3 linked regions of the Canis lupus familiaris genome follow. The protein of the gene in region 1 purifies or fractionates together with the protein of each later gene. This does not show direct contact. Links are inferred from orthologs where the notes say so. Each region holds a gene or a part of one and is shown in the gene's direction. Other genes may lie near its edges. The genes, in order: PDHA1, DLAT and RAB7A.

Region 1 (4,345 bases):
TGTAAAGATGTATCTAATCCTCTATGGTTTTACTGTTCAGCCTCTTTTCTGGGTTTCCTCCTGACAGGAGAATTATACTTCAACCTGTTGAACTCAGATACGGTTGTGTGACTAGCTCTGGTTTATGGAAATTGAGAGGACATGACATGTGTCACTTCTGGGTAGAAGCTTTGAGAGCCAGTTTATTTATTTATTTATTTTTTATTTATTTATGACAGTCACAGAGAGAGAAAGGGAGAGAGGCAGAGACACAGGCAGAGGGAGAGGCAGGCTCCATGCACCGGGAGCCTGACGTGGGATTCGATCTCGGGTCTCCAGGATCGCGCCCTGGGCCAAAGGCAGGCGCCAAACCGCTGCGCCACCCAGGGATCCCTATTTATTTATTTTTTTTAAGAGAGAGAGGCAGACACACAGGCAGAGGGAGAAGCAGGCTCCATGCAGGGAGCCTGACGTGGGACTCGATCCGGGGACCCCAGGATCACGCCCTGGGCTGAAGGCGGCGCTAAACTGCTGAGCCACCAGGGCTGCCCTGAGAGCCAGTTTAAATGATCCCTTTGCCTTTTACGGTACAGTAGGTACAGTAAGTTGCTGACAGATGCTATTCCATCAGTTTGAGTGCCAGAGTGAAGATGACATGGAGCAGATCCCAGCCAAGCCGTGAGGGACCTGAAGTGTAAACAAGGTGACTTGAGTCCTTGAGTCGGTTCAAGTTCTTGGAGTTCAAATTGTGGTTTCAGCCTCTCACCATTCTGACCACTGTCCCCTGGATTCCACCCATTTTTGACAACATTCCCCTTACATGGGGACCCCAAATCTGAACCTAGTATCCCAGGTGTAACCCCACTGGCCCACAGTCAGCTCTCTGACCTGGGAACTCACTGAATCGAGCCTAGACTTATTTTTGTGTTTGCTTCTTTGTGTGTGCTTTTATTATCAGCTGTGTCATGCGGCTGTTAACTCCCGTTGAGCTCGCGAACCAGTAACTAGAGCTAAAGGCTTTTCCCAGCTGATCTCTCAATATTTACTTGGGGAATTGATTTTTAGATCGTAACTCAAGTACACAGGGCAGCATTTTACAACTGTTACATGATCTCTTAAAGACAAGTTAGCAGCAGAACCATTTACAGAAACCAGAGGTTCCGTCTCGGCTCCGACCACGCCATGAGTCTTCATCTTGCCGTGCATTGAACGAAGGCTGCCAAAGTGCAGCCCCGGCGAGACTGGGCGCACGGCAGGTGGCCCGTACGGTTTCCCGCCGTGCACGCCTAACCTGAGTCGCAAAACTCCATGAAAAGCCATTTTCCCGCGGGGTTCCGGAGGCGGGGCTCCACTTTCCCAGGCGGACGCCCTCAAGTTCCCGCATCCCCGCCCGCCCGTGACGTGATGACGCAACGAGCCCCCCAGTGCCCGCCCCCTATGGCGCCAACACCCAATGAGCGGCCGCGGACCTCTTCGGTGGGCGGGACACGCAACTGGGAGCCCGCTTGGTTGGCCTGCGGCCTGGCGCGGCGCGTGACGAATTTCCGTTTCGTCGGTCGTGCTGCAGTTAAGGCGTGGCGTCCGCTCCGGGCGCCTGAAGGAGACTTGGGAGATTTCGGGGCCGCGCCGCCTGTGTACTTGGGAGTCGCCTACGCCGCCGCCGCTGCCGGCAATCCATGAGGAAGATGCTCGCCGCTGTCTCCCGCGTGTTGTCGGGCGTCTCCCAGAAGCCGGTGAGGCAGCAGCATGGGCGGCCCGGGGTAGGGCGCGAGCGGGGTCGAGGCGGGGCCCGACGCGGGAGTACGGCCAGGGCTTGGGGGCGCGCGGTGTGGTGCCTCTTAGGGCGCTGCGGAGCGGCCGGAGGGTAGCGGGCCTTTTGTTCTGCCTTCGCGCCTGGCACTCGGCTCCCTGCTCCGGGACTAGCGGCTGCTGGGCCCATCAGCCGCAAAAGGGGGGAGGGGAGCTCTACCAGGTCCACGGGGAGGTCAGCTGTGACTCCCGGCGCTGGCTACAGTAGGTGTGCTCCAGAAATGCCCGTTCATTTACTGCTGACAGAAAAGGGGGCCTGGGGCATCCACGAGTCCCCAGTTGATCCTGCCCATTCATTTGAAGTCTTCCTAATTTTGTTCTTCTTGACTAAGAGGCCACGTGGTGTGTTAAGAACGTGAACTTCAGAAACTGGTCCTGTTCAAACACCTGCCTCACCATTTACTAGCTCTGTGAGCTTAGGCAGGTTTTTGTTTTAAATCTCCCTTGCTCGGTTTCCAGCTCTCTAAAGAGATAATACGAGTATTCACCCCAAGGGGTTGTCCTGAAGCTTAAACTCTTGACATATATGTAAACCTTGCCAAATAGCGCCTGGTATATAGTAGGTGCTATCTGTGTTAGATGTTATTTCAGGGGCACCTGGGTGGCTTAGTGGTTGAGAGTAGGGCTTTGGCTCAGGTAGTGATCCCGGGGTCCTGGGATCAAGTTCCACATCAGGCTCCCCACGGGAAGCCTGCTTCTCCCTCTGCCTATGTCTCTGTCTTTCATGAATAAATAAAATCTTTTTTAAAAATGTTACTTCAGTGCCCCCTTGGGTATACATTTGTGAAACACCTTCACCCAGCTCTGGAGGGTTAAGTCTGGGTCATGCTCACCAGAAATCACCACCCCTCCTTTCCCACAGTGTTGAGTTTTTCTTGGCAGTCACTTCCAAGAGCAGTCAAGCAGAACCCGGAGGAAATTGCCCTTCTTACACGCACACGCTTAGGGTAAAAGTAGCTAAAGAAAACAGCTTTGGTGCTTGGGAGAGTGGGGTTAGAGGTCAGCACTATTTATGGCTCCAGTTTTTAGATGTGCCTCAAGCCTTCCAGCATTTTGACCTCTAGGTATGGGGAGGTAGTATTACTGGGTAGAACTGTAGCCAAGCTTGACTTGCAGTTCAGGTTCTAGTAACTTCCAGGACTTTGTGGCAGTTCTGCTTACTGTGGGCAGAAATCATTGAAAGGTAGGAAGTATACCCTTTTGGGAATCCCATTGACTGAAATAACTACAAAACATAATTGGGGGGAAAAAAAACACAATTTGGTTCATCAGTCATTAGCATTTAATTGCAACTAGATCCACCTAAAGGATAAGCTCATTTCAGTGTTATTTCTGTATATCACATGATAGATCCAACATTTCTTGAGATCTTAATATGTGCCAGATGCTAGGCTATTTAATCTCCACAACTTCAGTTTTTAGTTGAATGTAAGTAATGGAAACACGTGTTCAACTTTATATGAGAATCTTAGTTTTGTATCATGTTAAATTTAAAGGGTTGTAGTAGAAAGGAAAAACTTTGATAGAATTGGTGATGTTCTACAGAAAAAAATTAGTGTATGCGTTTCAAATTACTGTCATCTCTGTGTCCCTAGGAACAGAGAGAAGCCATTAATATTAGAGGCTCATTTGCTCGGCTATCCAAAATATTTCTGGTTGTGTTTTTCAGTCTTCCAGCAATGCGTTGGCATGAAATGCTTCATCTCCATAAAACTTTGGTCTCTTCAAAAAATCATATACTACTGCCCAAATCAAATAGAAATGAATTTTGAGGGCAGCCCAGGTGGCTCAGCGGTTTAGCGCTGCCTTCAGCCCAGGGCCTGATCCTGGAGACCTGGGATCGAGTCCCACGTCAGGCTCCCTGCATGGAGCCTGATTCTCCCTCTGCCTGTGTCTCTGCCTGCCTCTTTCTCTCTCTCTCTCCCCCCTCACCCCCCTCTCGAATAAATAAATATTTTTAAAAAAATGAATTTTGAGTTCTAGTAATTTGTTAACTGGATAAGATCAGAGTAGAATATAACTTCATTTAGTCAAAAATTGTTATTGAGAGAAAAGATTATTACAGCGGAAATGGATTCCTATGTATAACATTTCTTCTATTTAATTAGTTTTTTTAAAAATAACCATTAGAGAGATGCCTGGGTGGCTCAGCAGTTGAGCTTCCACCTTCAGCTCAGGGCGTGATCCCAGAGTACCGGGATTGAGTCCCACATTGGGCTTCCTGCATGGAGCCTGCTTCTCCCTCTGCCTATGTCTCTTGCCTCTCTGTCTCTGTCTCTGTGTCTCTAATGAATAAATAAATAAAATCTTAAAATAAAAACGATTAGAGACAGTGACAGTACAACATTTTCCCTTACGTTCTCTAAGATATTAAACACCTACTTTATACAATGAGTTTTTTGAAAGACAAATTCCTTAAACTTATTTGTATCACCTGTGCTTAGAAAGTGGTTGTTTCTGTCTTGATGGGAGTAACATCTGGTATGCTTACTTATTTTTAAAGACACTTTTGCAAATCAAAGTGTCAAACCCAGAATGGGAACTTGGCAATCTGTGG
Region 2 (3,646 bases), on another chromosome or scaffold:
TTTACAGTTAAGTACCAACTACCTACTTATGCTTAGCATGAGGCACTTTTAGGAATACAGCATAAGTCATAGTCCTCCATGAGCTTAAGTTTTTAATCTAATGGAGATAATGCATGTGAAAAACAGAAGAGGCAATTTTTATTAAAGTAAAAATACCCGTTGGTAGGTCAATTTCTTTATGGTAATGCCCCTTGACTGCTAAATTACACTGTATAGGTTAAGTGTTCTAGGAATTCAGAGAAGGAGGACACCAATAAAAGTAGTTGGGGAATTCACAGTGGTGTGGGAAAAACTTGATTAAGCTATGGAGAACAGGAAGGGTTTGCATTGGCAAAGAAGTTGAAGATAGTTCATTATACTGATGGAATATCATAAAGGCAAAATGCTTTTTAAAAAGGACGTAAGTGGGCAGCCCCAGTGGCTCAGCGGTTTAGCGCCTGCCTTCAGCCCAGGGCACGATCCTGGAGTTCCAGGATCGAGTCCCACATTGGGCTCCCTGCATGGAGCCTGCTTCTCCCTCTGCCTGTGTCTCTCATGAATAAATAAATAAAATCTTTAAAAAAAAAAAAAAATTGCATAGGAGGGACACCTGGGTGGCTCAGTGGTTGTCTGCCTTTGGCTCAGGGCGTGGTCCTGGGTTCCCAAAACAAGTCCCGAATCGGGCTTCCTGCAGGGAGCCTGTTTCTCCCTCTGCCTGTGTTTCTACCTCTCTCTCTCTCTCTCTGTGTGTCTCATGAATTTAAAAAAAAAAAAAAAAAAAAAAAAAATCTTAAAAAAAAAAAGAATTGAGTAGGAGGAGATATGAAAACTGTTTTCAAAGAAGTGAAAAGTAAAAGCCAGTGGCACTCAGCATTATACAGGTTATCTATAACCTCTCTGACCTCCTGCTTTTCCACTCCACTCCTTGCTCATTCTGCTCGAAAAAAATTGTCTTCCTGTTCCTCGACACTCTGCCTGTATACTCCTACTTTAGTCCCTTTGCACGTACTGTTCCCTCTGCATGGAATATTCTTCCCCTAGCATCCACCTGGTTTCTTCCTTTACCACCTTAAGGATTTGACTCAGTATCACCTTCTCTCATCTTCCCTGGTTACCTTATTCTAAAATTAAGGGAAGAGGAATGGGGTGAGTAATCAGTTTTCCCATTAGTTCTTTTCCTCTGTTTTTTTCTCTTTAACATTATCTTACATATTATATATTTCATTTATTTATTATCTGTCTACTCCTTTAGAATGTAAGATCCCTAAGAGTAGAATTTTTACCCATTTTTTTCCACTGCTTTATATCCAGGGATTTTTAGAACAGAGTACTCAAATATTAGATGCATGAATGAATAAAGCAAGAAGCATTAACAGGTAGTAACTGGCTATATGGCTTAAAGATGATTGCATGCTTTTACTAGCAAAATGGTAAAGCTATTTTATAATCTATTTGAAAATTAGACATGAAAAGTATGCATCCAGTGTATTATTTTATTCTTTTTAACAGTTTTATTTAGGTACATTTCACATATACCATTCAGCCACTTAAAGTTTACAATTCAGTGGCTTTTAGTATATCCTGAGTTCTATGACCATCACAATGGATTCTGGAACATTTTCATCACCCCAAAATGAAATCATTCTCCCATTACCTTAGCCCCCACTCCAATCCTCCCATCTTCCCCAACCCTAGATAATCACTACCTACTTTTTGTCTTAGATCTGCTTGTTTTGGGTATTTCCTGTAGGAATAGGGATTTCATTGAATCTGTAAATAATTTGGGGAGTATTGTCTTCTTAGTACTGTTCCTACTCCATGACCATGGAGTGTCTTTCCATTTATTTAGGTCTTCTTTCACTTCTTTCAATAATTTGTACAGTTTTTCAAGTATAAGTTTTTGTACTTCTTTTGTTAAATTTATTCCTAGATATTTTATTCTTTTTAATACTATTATAAATTTCATTTTCAGAGTGTTTATTGCTATTATAGAGCAATACTGTTGATTTTTGTGTATTGCTCTTGTATCCTAAAACCTTGTTTTTTATTTAGTGTTAAGATTTTCTTTTTTTTTTTTTCTTTAAGATTTTCTATATGCAAAATCATTCGTCTCCAAATAGAGATAATTTTGCTTTTTCCTTTCCAATTTGGATGTCATTTATTTCCTTTTCTCACCCAACTTCTTCAGCTAGCACATCTAGTAAAATGTTGACTGGAAGTTGTCTTGTTCTTGATCGTAAGAGGAAGTAAGTCTTTCACTAAAGTACAATGATGATGGTTGTGGGACTTTTGTAGATCTGTTTTATCATGAGATGTGGGAAGTTCCTTTCAATTCCTAGTTTGTTTGTTTTTTTTTTTTTTTTTCAATTCCTAGTTTTTATGAAGTGGTAGTTGAATTTGCTCAAAAGCTTTTTCTGTGTCTATTGAGATGGTCATGTGATTTTTGTCCTATATTCTGACATTATTACATTAATTGATCTTCAGATGTTAACCAACCTTGCATTTCTGGGACAAATTCCATTTGGCTGTGGTGAATAATCCTTTTCATATATTGCTGGATTTGGTTTGCTAGAATTTTTTTGAGGGTTTTTGGATCTGTATTCCTAGGTATTTGAGTTTTATTTTTTCTGGGTTTTGTTTTTTGTGTGTGTGTTTTTTTTTTTTTTTTTACTGTGATATCTTGGTCTGGTTTTGGTATTGGGTTAATACTGGTGTGTCAGAATGAGTGGAGAAGTGCTCCTTCTTTTGTGTTTTGGAAGATTTTGTGAAGAATTGATATTCTTCAGATGTTTAGCAGAATTCACCATTTGGGGAAGTCATCTGGGTCTAAGTTGTTCTGTGTGGGTATTTTTAAAATTATTCAGTCTCTATTACTAGTTACAGATCAATTCAGAGGTTTTATTCCTTTTTGATTCAGTTTTGGCAGCTTGTATCTTTCTAGGAATTTTCCATTTCATCTAAATTATCTAATTTGTGGGATAATTGTTATAGCATTACCTTACAATTTATTTGGTAGGTTATGTAGTAACGTCCCACATCATTTCTGATTAGAAATATGAGTCTTCTTTTTTCTTTGTCAGTCTAGCTGAACATTTATCATTTTGTTGATCTTTTCACGGAACCAACTTTTGGTTTTGTTCAGATAAGTGAAAATGAAGGCATAACATACCATAACTTAAGGGATACTGCTAAAGCAGGACTTAGTAGGAGGCTTATAGCTACAGACCTACATTAAAGACCTACAAAAAGGCCTACATTAAAAAGATGAAAAAACCAACTTTTAATTTCATTTCATCCTTTATACCTCAGGACATTTGTATTCTCCCCCCCCCCCCCCCCCAAGTCCCTGCCAGAGGTTATGTTTCAGTGTTTGGGAAGAGAGTTTAAGAAACTACGATGGTTTCTTGTCTTTGCAGATGTTAGAAGGGAGAAGCAAAATTTCTGTCAATGACTTCATCATAAAAGCTTCAGCTTTGGCATGTTTAAAAGTTCCTGAAGCAAATTCCTCTTGGCTGGACACAGTTATAAGACAGTAAGTAAGATACTGCTGGTCAAGGTATATGTATCCACCAGCAGATTTCTTGTGCTATCTCACATGTAACTAGGAATATAGGGGATAAGGAGAAATGGAATACAGGGAGGGAGATGACTTCCATAGGCAAAACAG
Region 3 (4,256 bases), on another chromosome or scaffold:
GTAGGTATCAGTCTCGATTCAGTCTTGAATTCCTGATTATAGAGAAGAATGCAGGCCTTCTGCTGGGGATTCCAGCTGTCTGAGGAGTGATCCTCCAGCAGTCTTAGGTAAGTTGCTAACATTGGAGTCCGGAATATAGGACTCCTGCTTTTCTGAAACTCAGAATCAGGTTCAGGAGACCAAGGGATAATTAAGACAGGAACCCTGCCTTAGTAAGTAAATAGGGGCAGATTTCTGGAATAGAGATAAGCAAAAATGAGGCATCTTACATATTGTCTAGCCAGGCTGCCTGAAAGGTTCTTTCTTTTCTTTTCTTTTCTTTTCTTTTCTTTTCTTTTCTTTTCTTTTCTTTTCTTTCTTTCTTTCTTTTTTTTTTGATTTTTTTTTATTTATTCATGAGAGGCACACACAGAGAGCGAGGCAGAAACACAGGCAGAGGGAGAAGCAAGCTCCATGCAGAGAGCCCAATGTGGGACTCGATCCCCCATCTCCAGGATCAGGCCCCGGGCTGAAGGCAGCCCTAAACCACTGAGCCACCTGGGCTGCCCTGAAAGGTTTTCTAGAAAAGGGTGATCTCAAGAGCTGCAGGTCAACAAGTATTGTTCTCACACCAACCCCAATTTTTTTTTAATTTTTTTTTTTTTTTTTTTTTTTATGATAGAGAGAGAGAGAGAGGCAGAGACACAGGCAGAGGGAGAAGCAGGCTCCATGCACCGGGAGCCCGATGTGGGATTCGATCCCGGGTCTCCAGGATCGTGCCCTGGGCCAAAGGCAGGCGCCAAACCGCTGTGCCCCCAGGGATCCCCCAACCCCAATATTTGATAATTGTTCTCTACTTGGCACTGGAGATGCAGTGGGGAATAAAACTGTCTTGGTGGAAGTTGTTGGAGAAGGGAGAAAACAAATTAATAGATTTGGATGTCAAGTAGTGGTAAGTGCTCTGAAGAAAAAAAGTAAGGCAATGTAAAGGGTTAGAGAGCAGATGGGGAGAGGGTGTGCCACTTTAGATAAAGTGATCATGTCTCTGAGGAAGTGCTATGTGAGCAGAGACTTGAATGAAGCAGGGCCTAGTTGTTAAATTGAACATTAATCCACAGTGATCCAGCAACATCTGAGAGGGAGAATCCATCCTTTTAGACTGCTCCAAGGGGCAGGATGACCCTGCCTCTCATGATTTTGCCCAGCTTGTGTCCAAAGTTCTAAGATTGATTCTGCTTTCTGTCTGGTCCCCCTGGGTGGCAGGGAAATAGCTAAATGGGAAGGCTTAGTGCTCCTGGGGCTGTGTTGATGCTTGTACAGAGGGATGAGGTTTGCCTGGGTATTTCTGTCACGCTCACAAGTACTTTCTCCTTTCTCCTTTTAGTTTGAAGGATGACCTCTAGGAAGAAAGTGTTGCTGAAGGTTATCATCCTGGGAGATTCTGGGTAAGTTTGAAGTAACAGATTGGTTTGGATTAAATGTGACTTTGAAGCCATGCCCTCCCTGCTCACATTTGCCACTTCTCTAATAGTAGTGGCAGTAGGGTTCTAGGTCTCTTGCCATTTCCAGCACAGCAGATTTTTTTTTTTTAAGCACAGCAGAAATTTTAATGATCTCTTAGTCTGTAATCCTTGGTTCCCTGGTCTTTGGCATGATTTAGGGGAAGGAGTAGCCATTTAAACTCAAGAACGGTTTCACTGGAATCTCTTTTTTCTGAGCTGATTAGACAAGGGAGTTCTGTTCATGTGTAGATTTGTTGCCACTGACCTCATGCCTACCAGTTGTGGGTTTGGAGTCTGGATACAGCTGTGCAGTATCTTCCCACTACTGGGTCTGATTTGGGGTGTATCTGAAAGAACCTGCGACTGGAAAACTGGGTTCTGATCCTAGATCTGCCACTAATTAAGTGACTAACTCTTCAGTAGCTGTTAACGATTCTGTGGGAGGCTTTTCAGACTCAGCATCTGATGTGACCTGGAAACCTTAGACCAACTAGAAGCTATGTATTTTTTTTAAATGATGATGATGATGATGATGATGATGATGATAAATCCAGGTGTGCCTCCTTACACGAAAGTTCCCTGCCCTTTAAGAAGGCAGTGATTTTTCTACCCTGTCTGGCTTTTCTGATTGCCCTGAGGAGCTTTTCAAAAGTAAGCATTTTTCCAGACCATTGTGTTGGGCCTCATTGGCAGTACTTAAATACATATATCTCTCTGTCTCCCTCCTCCCTCCTTCCTGGTGACCACTGTGCTGTCAGGAATGAAAGGTACTGTTTTAGGCCCAAACTTGCATGGGAAAAATCACCGGGCCTTTATTTGATTAGAGACCTCCTGACCTCTCCCCTGAAAATTCAGACCCAGGTGACCTGGATTGGAGAACACTGCCTTAAGCCATAACTTACTTCCAGGTCCTCTGCCTATGAAGATGAATATGTTCCTTAGAGGGAAAGGAAGGTGATCCTGTTGACTTGGAAGAAGACTTTTATGTTATCTTCAGCCTGCCCTAACTAATCTCATCACCAAAAAAAATCCACACATTGTCTCTTACTGAGTTTTCTTACTGAAAAACTTCCCTGGAGGAGCTTACTCTGAGGTAGATTCTGATTTGGTGGGAATATTGATGCTTTCCTCACTTCAGATTTTAATCTTTGAAGTAGCAGGTGGCTGACTGGCATATATGTCTGCTCATAGCCAGTGACTTTCTCCTGCTATTACTTTCTTGGACTGAATATCAGCCCCTAAATGGAGAGACACCCAGGACAGCAGAGATATTTTTAGAATGGTGGCAGGATCTTATTGCTGTAGCTTCTTTTAGAAAGAGAGTATTTGCTGACATCTTTCTGGAAGGAAAAAAATAATACTAAGTTCTACCATCTGAGTTACTTGTACCAAAACTTAAGAGCAGCTTTTCAACATCTGATCCACATCTATAGCCCTGTACTTTTGTTCCAGGAGAAAATAAAACCTCGAATGAGTAACACTGAGCAGTTTGCTGGCACTATCCTCTGTTGTGATTACAGTTGCTTGTTATCCTTTAAGCTGGCAAGTATCTTCAGAGCTGCAAATATCAGAATCATTTTTCTGCCCCTTCTAACTTGACCTATACTTGTGGTTTTTCTCCAATTTCAGAGTTGGTAAGACATCACTCATGAACCAGTATGTGAACAAGAAATTCAGTAATCAGTACAAAGCTACAATAGGAGCAGACTTTCTGACAAAGGAGGTGATGGTGGATGACAGACTAGTTACAATGCAGGTAAGCACACATCTCAACTTTGTCACCCAAGCCTTGTTCATTCAGTCTGAACTCTTTTGTTCATGCCTAGGCATTTTCCCACCCCATTCCTCATTTCCCACTACTATATTCATGGATAATTGGTCGCAGGTAGGATGGCCAGATACAAATACAGGACATCAGGTATGACCCAGGCATTGCATGAGACATACTAGAAATTTTTCATTGGTTTTCCAAAGTTCAAATTTAATTGGAGTTCCTGGTTTTTTGTTGGTTTGGTTTGTGTTTTTTGTTTTTGCTGAATTTGATAACATACAGGCCCAAACTTTTGTCTCCAAAATGTTTAACTCATTCCTTTCTCTTAATATCCCCACATGGGGGACGCCTGGGTGGCTCAGCAGTTGAGCGTCTGACTTTGGCTCAGAGCATGATCCCGGGGTCTGGGATCAAGTCTCGAATCAGGCTCCCCTTGGGGAGCCTGCCTCTCTCTCTGTCTGTGTCTCTGGGTGCTCCCCCCCCCGCCCATGTCTCATGAATAAAGAAATAAAATCTTAAAAACAAAAATCGCCACATAGTATTTTAGGTCAGAATATCTTTGGGTCTCTCCTAGATTCTTATAGTAGCTGTTAATGTAGTTTCCCTGTTTTTCTGACTTTTAATCTGTCCTATCTATAGCCACCAACTTTGTATTTCTGTTAAGTTAGCCTGGCTTTTTTGTGTATCACCTTACTTTAATCTTTCAGGGGGTTTCCCTTGCAACAGTTAGGATAAAATACACATTCCTTAATATGACCTTTTGAAAGTCTTTGCATTCTGACTACAAACTATTCTTCACTTTTTGTCTTTTTCCAGTCCTTCCAAACCATGTGCTGCTTTTAACAAGCTGTCGTTGCACCTGTCTGCCTCCATCCCAACCCCTTTGTCCCATCTCCATCCCAACCCCTTTGTCCCATCTCCATCCATCCTGAAAAGTCTCCAACTTTTAGCCTAGGTGTTGTCTTTTGAAATTCCTATCTCCACAGCAGTTGTTCCTTCCTGTA

Evidence for each region.
Region 2: the proteins of PDHA1 (region 1) and DLAT fractionate together in Homo sapiens (co-fractionation; 3 studies listed by BioGRID). This does not show direct contact. The link is inferred for Canis lupus familiaris from reciprocal best matches to the Homo sapiens genes PDHA1 and DLAT.
Region 3: the proteins of PDHA1 (region 1) and RAB7A fractionate together in Homo sapiens (co-fractionation; 3 studies listed by BioGRID, with this or other methods). This does not show direct contact. The link is inferred for Canis lupus familiaris from reciprocal best matches to the Homo sapiens genes PDHA1 and RAB7A.

Annotation. Positions count from the first base shown.
Region 1 is NC_049260.1:15,414,515-15,418,859, forward strand, and holds the start of PDHA1 (pyruvate dehydrogenase E1 component subunit alpha, somatic form, mitochondrial), read left to right. Parts: upstream 1-1,532; 5' UTR 1,533-1,655; coding exon 1,656-1,712; intron 1,713-4,345. UniProt on the Homo sapiens protein: The pyruvate dehydrogenase complex catalyzes the overall conversion of pyruvate to acetyl-CoA and CO(2), and thereby links the glycolytic pathway to the tricarboxylic cycle.
Region 2 is NC_049226.1:21,103,650-21,107,295, reverse strand, and holds part of DLAT (dihydrolipoyllysine-residue acetyltransferase component of pyruvate dehydrogenase complex, mitochondrial), read left to right. Parts: intron 1-3,395; coding exon 3,396-3,511; intron 3,512-3,646.
Region 3 is NC_049241.1:2,781,951-2,786,206, forward strand, and holds the start of RAB7A (ras-related protein Rab-7a), read left to right. Parts: upstream 1-1,362; 5' UTR 1,363-1,371; coding exon 1,372-1,424; intron 1,425-3,110; coding exon 3,111-3,237; intron 3,238-4,256.